4 linked regions of the Saccharomyces cerevisiae S288C genome follow. The main gene of each other region encodes a partner of the protein of the gene in region 3 in a complex. Each region holds a gene or a part of one and is shown on either strand. Other genes may lie near its edges. The genes, in order: MRPL16, MRP20, MRPL40 and MRPL51.

Region 1 (2,863 bases), on a different chromosome or scaffold from region 3:
ATCTAGCAGCCAAAACCATACCTTCAGTACCTCTAACACCAAAACCACCGGGGATTAAGATACCGTCTGCGGTACTGACCATGTTCCATGCTTCATGAAATTTAGTTTTGTTGCTTTCTTGTGCTTCAGGTTCCAAATCAGTAGCTTCCACCCATTTAATGTCTAACTTACGACGACACTTCATGGATGAATGTTCCAATGCTTTTATCACTGATAGATAAGAATCTTTCAAGTTGGTGTATTTCCCAACCAAAGCAATCTTCACTGTTTCCATGGATTCATCGAAGTTACCTGTTGTGGCCTTCCATTTAGACAATAATTCCAGGCCTCTTTGTTTTTCTTCTTCTGTAAGTGATATTTCATCTAACTTTAATCTGGCGTGTAAGTAATCAATCATCTTTTGTTCCAGTAGCAACAATGGGACGTGATAAGTAGAATTAACATCGTGAACGTTAACCACCTGTTCAGGCCCCACATGACAAAACATGGCAATCTTATCGATTGTTGGTTTATCCAAAGTTTCACTACATCTACAGGCGATCATATCTGGAACTAAACCAAGAGACCTCAAACCTTTGATGGCAGCTTGAGTTGGCTTAGTTTTTTGTTCACCGTGGATGACAGGAACTAGAGAAACGTGTATCAAGGCAAAATTTTCCTTTCCAACTTTAAATTGGAATTGTCTTAGTGCCTCCACAAAAGGAGCACTTTCAATGTCACCAACTGTCCCACCCAATTCAATGATACAAACATCTGGTTCCATACCGGTGTCATCTACAGGAATTTTGGCCACGCGCTCAATCCAATCTTGGATAGCGTTGGTCAAATGAGGGACAATTTGCACGGTTTTGCCTAAATAGTCACCTTTTCTTTCCTTAGCAATAACGTGCGAGTATATTTTACCAGTAGTAATGTTATGATCTTTAGTCAAAGTAACTCCAAGGTATCTCTCGTAGTTACCCAAGTCCAAATCTGTTTCACCACCGTCGTCAAGCACGAAACATTCACCATGTTCCAAAGGAGACATAGTACCTGCATCAATGTTCATATAAGGGTCAATTTTAATTGACGTAACCTTTAAACCGAGGGTTTTCATTAGCATACCAGTTGAAGATGCAAGAACACCTTTACCGATACCCGAAATGACACCACCTGAAACAACAACGTACTTCATTTTCTGTCTATAAGTTTCTTTTGTTCTATTGACCAATTCACTGAGAAACTGCCTGAAACTTTTTCGACCTTAGAATGGCAGAAAAATGGCAAATACTGTAAAATACTTAACATTTAACTAAATTTTATTCTATGCTTTTCCTCTCGATGAGATGAGCTGTGAAAAATTTTGAAAAAAAAAAAAAAAAAAAAAAAAAAAAAAATTTGTTATCACCAATAACGAGAAACCTAACTCTAAAACTTAGGGTCAAAGAACAGAACCCTAGGCTTTGTATCCAGTTGAATCACTAATTACGAAAGAATGCTGGTGGAAATAATAATATCATATTGGTGCTCAAATAACAAGAAGACTTCTTTGGAAGAAATTATTACCAATTAACAGTCCACTTGTAGAGCGTACATATTGCCGGGAAGTTGATTACCTTTCACCAGAGGTACAGAGGAATAGAATTTTGCAACATGTTCCCCTATTTAACAAGAATGAATTTATCCATAAAGATGGGAGGGCTAACTTTAAAAGAAAGTTCCCCCAATGCTTTTTTAAATAACACCACTATTGCTAGGAGATTCAAGCATGAATATGCCCCACGTTTCAAAATCGTACAGAAAAAGCAAAAAGGTAGAGTGCCAGTTCGTACAGGTGGTTCAATAAAGGGATCCACTTTGCAATTTGGTAAGTACGGATTACGACTGAAAAGCGAAGGTATTAGGATATCCGCGCAACAGCTGAAGGAAGCAGATAACGCAATTATGAGATATGTCAGGCCTTTAAACAATGGTCATTTGTGGAGGCGTTTGTGTACAAACGTTGCTGTATGTATCAAGGGTAACGAAACAAGAATGGGTAAAGGTAAAGGTGGGTTTGACCACTGGATGGTGAGGGTACCCACAGGGAAGATCCTTTTCGAAATAAATGGTGATGATTTGCATGAAAAAGTCGCACGGGAAGCCTTCAGAAAAGCAGGCACCAAGTTACCTGGGGTATATGAATTTGTATCCTTGGATTCTCTGGTTAGAGTTGGATTACATAGTTTCAAAAATCCTAAAGACGACCCAGTGAAGAATTTTTACGATGAAAATGCAAAGAAGCCATCAAAGAAGTATTTGAATATTTTAAAGTCTCAAGAACCACAGTACAAACTCTTCAGAGGACGTTGAACGGATTGAACACACCATGTATACATGTATATAACTATTGAAAAATATCGATATTCACAATCAAGTAATCTAGCCATGGCTATGAGTTTATTAATTCTAGTATGCACTGTATACTCTCTGCGGAAGAATAGGAGTTTTTCCCCGGAGTGAGCGCTGAAGAAACACATGACGACGTGAAAAAACACTTGTTTGATCCAGCTGAGGTATAAACACTGAGAAATATTTGAGGGTCAAAGAAGCACTAGGAACGTTACAGTTGGAATTTGCTAGTCAATCGAGTTTCCAATTTCGCAACCTTTATTATAGTACTAATCTTATAAGCCATGGATCGCAAAAAAACACTTATAAACTCAAGTGTTTCTAATAATAACAGTACCATCAAGGGCCTACAGTTATTCATTGCAGATCTTCGTTCTGCACAACAAGCACAAGAGCAGGAAAAGAGAATACAATCTGAAATTGTCAAAATTAAACAGCATTTCGATGCTGCAAAGAAAAAACAAGGCAATCACGACAGATTAGGTGGCTATCA
Region 2 (3,334 bases), on a different chromosome or scaffold from region 3:
CCGATCCCTACTACCAAAGTCTCGCACAGCAGTAGCAGTATTCTTTTCCCTCATCGTCTTACCATCGTGCCATACCTTAACCCCGGCACCGTGCGTTGCAGATCCGCCCCTCGCGGACCCGCTCGAGACTCTCCGCGGAACGAGCATGCGGACGGCTCCGCGCCACTGTCTCCGCAGGCATCCGTGCATGGCATCCCGCGGAAGCGACCCTGAAAATAATAAGTAAAGCAACCAATGTTCTTGCTCTTTGCGCGAACAAAAATAAAAAAAGAACAGAAATACAGGCCACCTTCCAGGGCAGGGGAAGGGGATGCCATCATCATTCTTTTCTTCCGTAAGGCATGTTCTACAGCCACTTCATATATTTTTGCGTTTGTTGCTCGGAAAAAGTAATGTTCTTAATTTTCTTTCTTTTTTTTTTTTTCTGTTTAGAGATTATGTAGTTTGCTCCGTATATACAAGTGTGAGGGGTGCAAGATGCTTATCTGGGTATTTGCGTGTGGGTTAACGAAGGGGTGGAATGGGAAACCTTCTAATGTAGATCTTCTATGTACCTGTTCAGGGCAATTAGTTTATCTGCGCGCTGCAGTTCGGCGGCGTGACGCTCTCGCTTATTGTCTATCTCTCGTTTTAAGAAGCGAGGTATAAAAGGCTGGGCCACCCGTTCGTAAGGCCCCACGACTCCGTCGAATGCTGTGCCGGGTTTGTTGGCGTCTGAGCCCAAGCAGTTAAGTCTTTCTTCACGGTACTTTTCCATGTTGTCAGGCGTGGTGCTGTCCCAGAAGGAGTTTTCGTCCGGACGGGGTTCTTCGGGCCAAATGAAGGGTTCTTCCATCTCGATAGTCATTTTCTTGATCTGCGGTTCTCTAAACCGCGTCGTCTGTAGGTTCATACGGTTAAACTTCCCATGAAGCAGCTGCGTCGTAATGTTCATTGCTCTTAAGCCGTAGATATGATAAAGATAGTCTCTGAGATCCAGTTTGTTGAACGATTTTGGGACGATGAATTTTGCTTGATACGGTGTGTGCTTCGCGTTGGGCCTCAAGAGGATGATCCTGGCCTTGGGAAAGTAGACTTTGTTACCTCCAACTTTGAAATGCTCCTTTCCCTGCTCTATGCCCGCCTTTGTCCACTTATAAATCTTCTCGCTTACGTTTATATCTACTTCGCGATCGCTGCCGCTTTTGTCGAGTATTTTGGAGGAACTCTCCACCACTGAGGCTAGTGATCTTATTGGAACCTGCTCTGGCTTGCAACTTCCTACTGCAAGTGTTTTTTGCAAAGGATACAACATATTCTTCGTTCCAACCGTCAATCGTGGCATATTCTGTGTTGGTGTTGCGTACTTTTTATTTTTATTTTATTTTTTTTTCTGTTGGAGCCTGCTAATCAAAGCACATTATTTGTTAGTAGCGTTACGTTCTCCACAAGAAATGTATGTACATTTCAAGTTCTAATACCATCGTTTTCCCTTTTTCATCGAGAAAATTCGTATAACGCGATTACGTATTAAGTGATCTTCTGTGGGTTTCAACGGCTATTTTGAAAAATACAAGGAAAATAAATGCGGTATTCCTATATCCCAGTGAAAATGCCAATAACGTAGACAAGCTCACTTCGTCGATTTATTCTCTAACATTGGGTCGATCAGGTCTGTCCACCTATCTCTTCTCCCAGAATATCATAGCCTTTCTTTTTCCGTTTCTCCTCCTACACCATTCTCCTTTGCGATTAGACAGTGGGAAAGTCCAAGAATAGATTCACATTTCAACCACTGTATAAATAACTCAATTTCTGAGAATGTTTTTTATTAAAGACCTTTCGCTTAATATTACCCTTCATCCGTCCTTTTTCGGTCCTCGAATGAAGCAATATCTAAAGACAAAACTATTGGAAGAGGTTGAAGGTTCGTGTACGGGTAAATTCGGATATATTCTTTGTGTCCTAGACTATGATAATATAGATATTCAACGTGGGAGAATATTGCCCACAGATGGGTCCGCCGAGTTCAACGTGAAATATAGAGCTGTAGTTTTCAAACCATTTAAAGGGGAAGTAGTGGACGGCACAGTCGTTTCATGTTCTCAGCACGGGTTCGAAGTGCAAGTAGGTCCAATGAAAGTATTTGTGACAAAGCATCTGATGCCTCAAGATTTAACCTTTAATGCGGGTTCAAACCCACCATCATACCAAAGTTCCGAGGATGTCATCACCATAAAAAGTAGAATTAGAGTTAAAATTGAAGGTTGTATCAGTCAAGTGAGTTCTATTCACGCAATCGGTAGTATCAAAGAAGATTATTTGGGTGCTATTTAATCACTTGTTACTCCGCAACGCTTTTCTGAACGCCCGCCTTCGCCTTTCATTATCATTCTCATCCCAAAAGAACTGTGCATGTTATTTGCAATACTTCATATACGCTCTGTATTATTAATAGTATCATTAATTACGTCAATTGAAATTCAAAATATCATCTTTGACAGTAACATCTATCCTCTTAGACAACTAGGGCCATTGCAGTGTCTCGAAACCATTAATATCACTGAAAAGATGAAAAGAAAGGCAAATATATATTGATCACTAATTTTCTAAGCTAAAGAATCTATTCCCCCTCTGTTAAATGGAATTGTGTGAAATAAAATATTATAAAATCAGAACTTTGGGGGGGAAACATAAAAAAATGAGAAAAAGAAAACGAACTAACTAATGTTTAAGTAAAAGAACAAAAAGGTAGACCAATGTAGCGCTCTTACTTTATTAAGAGATTTTCTTGATAACGAAATGTCCTCCTTCTCCAATATCGAAACGAGTATCTTTCCATACACCATCATACATACCCTTTTCGAGAGCCTCCTTGACTACTTTTGATTTTGTCAAAAAGTATTTCTCCTTTTCATCCTCAACCTTCACGACACAATTATGCCAAGGTGTGGGAATATGTAAAAAATCTTCAAATTTGGGTTCATCAAGGTCTTCTAACGAACTAACAATAGAACACTGTTCGTTGGAGATTACTTTTATACCAAATTTGGGCCCGCTGTTAGTGTGCGCATGAATAGAAATTCTCAAATGATGAGGGAATATCAATTCCACTAAGTTCGAATACGCGTCATTTCTCTTAATCATGTTAAAAGCGATCATTGAAATGATTTTCTTGAATTTTTTTCTGGAATAACTTTGGAAATGTTCCAGTAGAGATAAATCTTCCATCATAAAACGTGAAAAGCCCCTATACAGATGCAATCTTGGATGTCCTTCTATTGCAATCTGCTTTCTCAAACGACCTGCATCTGTATCACAGCCTTTCATCAAAATCTGTCTCGACAAATCGGAC
Region 3 (3,000 bases):
AACATTAAAAGATAACGTCAAGTTTAATAAAGGTCTAAGTGTAGCCAACATTTATGCAAGGAAAACTTTTATGGCTAGTGTATTGCACCTACCGGCAATTCTAATCCTAGCCATTATACATAAAAAAGGCCGCTGGGATTGGATATATCCTGGTGAAGCAAAGCGACCACAGGAACGATTTTAGCATTAGTACAATGAGATAAAGAGACAACGCTTAAAGGGCAGTCATTAATCTTGTAAATAAATATTTAAACCCTTTTATTGGTTAAAAATAATGTACATACGCACATAATTTATTTTTAAAGAAAAGATTTTGTAATTTGAAGTCATCACGTTTGCCCACATCAATATCTGAATATTCTTTGAACTTTACTTTATGCTTTCATATATACAGGTCGAATATAACTTATTTACTACGTGAATAGTGAAGGGGATATACTGATTAAAAAAATCACACTAGAGAATCAAATATAAAAATAGAGTGCATACACTTGGTACATTTATTCTCTTTTTTGTTTTTCCAAAAATTCAAAAACCCTCGCCCCAATAGCTTCCATGTCCTCTTCAGTTAGTTTTGGTACTTCTCTCTCAGCCAACTCCTTTTTTTCTGCCAAATGGCTTTTTCTTACCTCTGTTAGGGGCATCTCAGGTGCTACTAGCTTAGCTATATCTTTCGCTGTCAAGGTACCCCTTTTGTACTTAGAATGAGGATTGCGAATACTTGGTATTGCCTTTTTTGGAATAGGGTTTCTCACTACGGAATCGACCCAAAATGTTTGTTCTCTAGCAATTACAGGATCGGTAGCCAAGTTCGTTTGCACATCAATTGGGTCTGGTTTAGGCCATGGAATGATCAAGTCTGGTTGACCCTTTACGCATCTATATGGCATTACCTTTTTGTAGTCTGCATCATAGTAGGAACCATTGAAGGAAACATCCCTTACTGCCACCGTTCTTGTCTTTCCTGGGGTCTTTTCATCGTCAATATCAGCAACTAGCCTTAAATCCTTTCCCAAAATTGAAACTGGAATTGTTATCATGTGAGATGTTTGGCCTTCAAGCCAGAATTGTTTAGGAACTGGAACAGTCTTTGTGGGCCCATTCTCATCTAATATGAATGAATTTGTTCTTTTATCGAAAGATTTAATTACAGCTATATTTCCTTTGGAAGCCCCGCTCATTACTACTACTCTGTCGCCAGGTATAAACTTCCATTCTTTTTCACTCTTGAAACTAGTTTTCTCATCTACTTCCTTTAAATCTGACTTCATGAACTCAGGCGTAGATTTTTTAATGAACTTTTCACTATGAGGAAGAAAGTTTTTGGGTCGATTCCCCAATCTTTTCATAACACGCGATCCAACGTTTGATAAATGTTGATAGCTTCCAGACATGATGGATTACAAATTTTGTTGCTGATAATGTTCTTTACGGTGGATTACTCTTATCAGGTAATCCTTAAGTAGCTGTTAAAGAGCAGTAGGTACTTTTGAATCTAACATGTCGTTATTTTTCATGTCGCTTTTCAACCGGGTATTTTACAATGCTTAACAAAAAATGCATATATGTTGAAAAGTCACTTATGTAAACGTACAGTTGTAAGGTGCTTTCTTTTTACTCTAACCTCCACACTGAGATTGTTGGCGTAACTGTAGAGAGTTACTCATATGCTGCTAGACTTTATGTTGTACTTTACTTTTGCAAAGTACATAATACTATTCTAGATTCGATCTCCATCAACCTCGCAGTACAGCCTTGGACAAATGCGCAATGCAGGTGTTCAAGTTGACACAAATATGCAGAAGATAAGCTTACAGGACACAGTTCTAGTCAACGAGATGAAGGGGCGGGTGAAATTCATTGGGGAAACTCAATTTGCAAAAGGCATATGGTACGGCATTGAACTAGATAAACCGTTAGGAAAGAATGATGGAAGCGCTAACGGTATTCGTTACTTTGATATCGACCTGAAGAAAGCTAATTCAAATGGTGGTTATTATGGTCTTTTCTGCAAGAAAGATACGTTGCAGTTTTATAAACCAGATGACGATGAGCATAGTTTGCTAAATGGTAATGCAGCGCAAGAAACAATTAAGAATCTACAAGTAAAATGTGAATCATTGGCGTCCAAATTAAATAAAATTAAAATAGAAAATCATGAGCTGAAAACTTCCGTTGAAAAGCTGAGTACTAATGAAACTGTTCTATTGTCTAAAATCTCAAGATTGGATAAACTAGTCAAAGAACTGAAAGTGGAAAATGGTAATATGAAAACTCATTTGGATAATTTCAATCACCTATTAGATGCTTCAGATAGTGTAATGGCACCGGATCTCGACAAAGGCACACTGTTAGAAAGGAGCCATCTTCTTCAGGGACTACTCGACCAAACAAAGTTGTCATATGATAAAGCTATGAAGGTGCAAGAGGACCTGCTCGAGGAGAATACTCAGTTATTAGAAGAAAATGCAGTATTATCTAAAAAAATATCGGATTTAGGTCTGCAATTGCAACAGACTAATAATACAATCGGCGACCTTGCCTTGCAGATTGAAGCTCAAAGTAAATCATCTAATATTGTTGATAAATTGACTAATGATAATATCCTACTCACAAGTAATATAAAGGCTTTAAACAATGAGTTGGAGGAACTACAGGCAAAAGAAAAATTGGATGAAAATTTAAGAATTACCTATGAGCAACTCGAGCAAGAACTGAGACTGCAATTAAGTAATTTGCAATCTGCATTGGAAAATGAAAAGGAGATAGCAGGCACATATATCGAAGAAAATTCAAGATTAAAAGCAACATTGGAATCTATTGAAGCCAAAACATCTCACAAATTTCAAAGTCTTGAACTAAAAGTGAACACTTTACAGGAGGAATTATATCAAAATAAATTGCTAAAGAAATTTTACCAAATATATGAGCCATTTGCACAACCACATTTGGCGGCTCTTTCCTCTCAATTGCAATATTTAGCCGAAGTAATCGAAAGTG
Region 4 (2,704 bases), 510 kb from region 3:
TTTGAGTTTATTCATGATGTATATTTGAACGATTCAGAGGGCATTTTTGAAGGTTTTATTACTTGGATTACTACGATAGTGAAATTTTTGCAAAAGAGTAAATTCGGAGGACCGAGTGAAAGGATCGACTTCAATAAGTTAATTTGTAGAGATGATATCGATATTGATGTCAAACTTTTGAAAGTTCAAGTTAATAATGTTCTTAATAAAAAGATTGGTGCGAGAAAAATCTATAAGAAGTTGTTAGATTTGAAGGTTAAACAAGGTACTAAACAAAATAACAAACACGCTGCTGGCATACTTCAAAAGAATTGGAGTGACATAAACTCCTTGGTTATGCCATCCAGCTCTGGATCTTTTGGACTTGGAGATGGTGATTTGGTGGATTTGGATCTCGATACAGGTGATTACGATTTTTTACATAAAGAGAATGAAGTTGAATTAGAAAAGCAATACAAAGATTTATTGAATCTTGTTGTTGATGAAAGTGAAATTGATAAATTGAGATCTCAAGTTTTCGCACAGGAATTAAAAAATTATTTAGAAGCTCAAATTGCTAAAAAGTAGGCCCTTTCTAGTATCTCCTTTATTCGTTTTTATTCGTTACGATTTTCCGGCTTAATAATATAGGATTGCTAGGTCTATATATAAGAAAAGCTTGTAGAAATAAAAAAATAGAAAAAACTTCAAGATAAATATTGTTCTCTTTTATTTTAAGATCCTACAAACAGCACAATTCCCCTTTTAGTTATTTTTAGCCAAGATCAGGATAGCAGAGAACTGAGTCCCTTATTCTTTAATTGAGGGTCAAAAAATTCCGATTGCGAACTTCATCTCCACCTTGGCAAAGGAATGACGAAAAAATGATCTTGCATATATATATTTACTTGTAAAATAATTATTTTGGAATTTTTCTTAACAAACCACCTGACAAACAAACACCGTACGCAAGCATCCCGCAAACATTAGAAAGATTGAACAAAAGACTCAATCCGTGCGACTTGCCAAATTCTTTACGTAATATAGCATCCTTTGCTTCCAATTCACTACCCGTGTATTTCTTCGCAATATTCTTTCTTTGTTCTTTAACTTTATGGGTCCAGGGCAACAACCAAAACAAATTGGTTAGCCCACTGACAGATGCAACCACCAAAGAAGATAATGGTCCTGTTGTCAAGGCAATTGGAGCGGTAAGGGCCAGGATGACAGGTGATGCCGCTTGCATTTGGAAAAAATACGGGAAGATCTTATTTTGCAAAGCAGAAAATTGGTCTTTTTCAAGAACTTTGAATGCGATTGGAGAAGCTACATAGGAATAAAACGTCGTTCCTCCAAATCTGAAAGATTAAGTTGGTACATAAAAGTTGTTAGTCAGTTATTCTCAATTAATCATAATTGTTCAAATTTTTTCTTGTGTCTTAATCTGTACATACACAAAGGAATAAAAAAGCAAATGAGCCGTAGTTTTGACTAAACACATTTTTCGTTGTTAAGTTTACTGGACTGTAAAGCGTAGTTTGATCTGCCTATATCATCAAACAACTCCATTTAACTCCCTTAAATAATACTATTCTTTTCTGTAAGTTTATCGCACTATACGTTACGGTGCTTTCCGTCTTTTTCGGATGAGGGATGCTCATAAGAATTACAACAAATCATAAGCCCTGAGATAAAAAAGATCAATCAATACGATTATCATAAACCATGACTAAGTAGATACACAGACACGAATATATGGAGAAATGGTTGTGAAAGCTATTGCACGAAATTCCATAGGTCGTAATGGAGTTGGAGCATTCGTGTTTCCATGCAGAAAGATTACTTTGCAATTCTGTAACTGGGGAGGGTCTTCGGAAGGCATGAGGAAATTTTTGACTTCAAAGAGATTAGATAAATGGGGCCAGGAGTTCCCATGGATACAGTTTGAAGTGATGAGGAAGTCTGGACATCCTTTGTTGAGGGCAGAATACACAAATGGGCGTGAAAAAGTTATTTGTGTGAGAAACTTGAACATTGACAATGTAGAAAACAAGCTAAAGCTATTGAAGGATTCTGATGGAGACATTTTACGCAGAAGAACAAAGAATGATAACGTGGAAAGCTTGAACAGTAGTGTGAGGGGTATATGGTCGCCTCTGCATGCTGCGAAAAGGCATAGAATTTAGCTTTAGTATATAAGAAAATTCTAGAAATAGAGAGAGATAATTATACTTGTATATATAATTTGGGGCAGATAAGACTCCTGATATTTAAGATTTAAAGTCAATTTTGCCATTGTTATATGATCATGTCCTGAAATATGACCTCTTGTATTTGGTTACCCGCTTTACACCCTGCAAATCACACTAGTCTAATAAATATGGAATAAGACTGAAACATATAAAAGATGTAACTTCTAGGATATCTGAAAGAGCAACCGTACGGTATTCAACGTTTAGATTTGATGGACGGCCTTAGCTTTGTTGATAAAGGGAAAATACCAGATGGTTACAAAAATGAAATAGATCAATTAGTAAAGAAGGAATTTGCGAATATAAAAAGAGAGCCTGTTCATCCCGAAATACGAGGTATACTTGCGAAGAGAAAGGGGGCCGATAATAGTGTTTCTACGCTTACAAATGCATTGTACACCGAATACTTGAAACAACGTAATAACAAAAAAAGGCGAACACCGGATTTTAATGACGACGATGATACTTTATTT

What was found.
Region 1: MRPL40 (region 3) and MRPL16 share a complex: the UniProt entries of both Saccharomyces cerevisiae proteins name them as parts of the mitochondrial large ribosomal subunit.
Region 2: MRPL40 (region 3) and MRP20 share a complex: the UniProt entries of both Saccharomyces cerevisiae proteins name them as parts of the mitochondrial large ribosomal subunit.
Region 4: MRPL40 (region 3) and MRPL51 share a complex: the UniProt entries of both Saccharomyces cerevisiae proteins name them as parts of the mitochondrial large ribosomal subunit.

What each region holds. Positions count from the first base shown.
Region 1 is NC_001134.8:144,555-147,417, forward strand, and holds MRPL16 (mitochondrial 54S ribosomal protein uL16m MRPL16), read left to right. Parts: upstream 1-1,632; coding exon 1,633-2,331; downstream 2,332-2,863. Other genes in the region: CTP synthase URA7, read right to left, coding at 1-1,174; APL3 (Apl3p), read left to right, coding at 2,655-2,863. UniProt on the Saccharomyces cerevisiae protein: Component of the mitochondrial ribosome (mitoribosome), a dedicated translation machinery responsible for the synthesis of mitochondrial genome-encoded proteins, including at least some of the essential transmembrane subunits of the mitochondrial respiratory chain.
Region 2 is NC_001136.10:1,275,636-1,278,969, reverse strand, and holds MRP20 (mitochondrial 54S ribosomal protein uL23m MRP20), read right to left. Parts: upstream 1,325-3,334; coding exon 533-1,324; downstream 1-532. Other genes in the region: DNA-directed RNA polymerase II subunit RPB7, read left to right, coding at 1,801-2,316; DIT1 (Dit1p), read right to left, coding at 2,758-3,334. UniProt on the Saccharomyces cerevisiae protein: Component of the mitochondrial ribosome (mitoribosome), a dedicated translation machinery responsible for the synthesis of mitochondrial genome-encoded proteins, including at least some of the essential transmembrane subunits of the mitochondrial respiratory chain.
Region 3 is NC_001148.4:221,537-224,536, reverse strand, and holds MRPL40 (mitochondrial 54S ribosomal protein uL24m MRPL40), read right to left. Parts: upstream 1,395-3,000; coding exon 501-1,394; downstream 1-500. Other genes in the region: COX10 (protoheme IX farnesyltransferase), read left to right, coding at 1-184; NIP100 (Nip100p), read left to right, coding at 1,764-3,000. UniProt on the Saccharomyces cerevisiae protein: Component of the mitochondrial ribosome (mitoribosome), a dedicated translation machinery responsible for the synthesis of mitochondrial genome-encoded proteins, including at least some of the essential transmembrane subunits of the mitochondrial respiratory chain.
Region 4 is NC_001148.4:728,049-730,752, forward strand, and holds MRPL51 (mitochondrial 54S ribosomal protein mL43 MRPL51), read left to right. Parts: upstream 1-1,742; coding exon 1,743-2,165; downstream 2,166-2,704. Other genes in the region: LEC1 (Lec1p), read left to right, coding at 1-567; TMH18 (Tmh18p), read right to left, coding at 899-1,337, 1,434-1,480; YPR099C (uncharacterized protein), read right to left, coding at 1,709-2,065; SNT309 (Snt309p), read left to right, coding at 2,444-2,704. UniProt on the Saccharomyces cerevisiae protein: Component of the mitochondrial ribosome (mitoribosome), a dedicated translation machinery responsible for the synthesis of mitochondrial genome-encoded proteins, including at least some of the essential transmembrane subunits of the mitochondrial respiratory chain.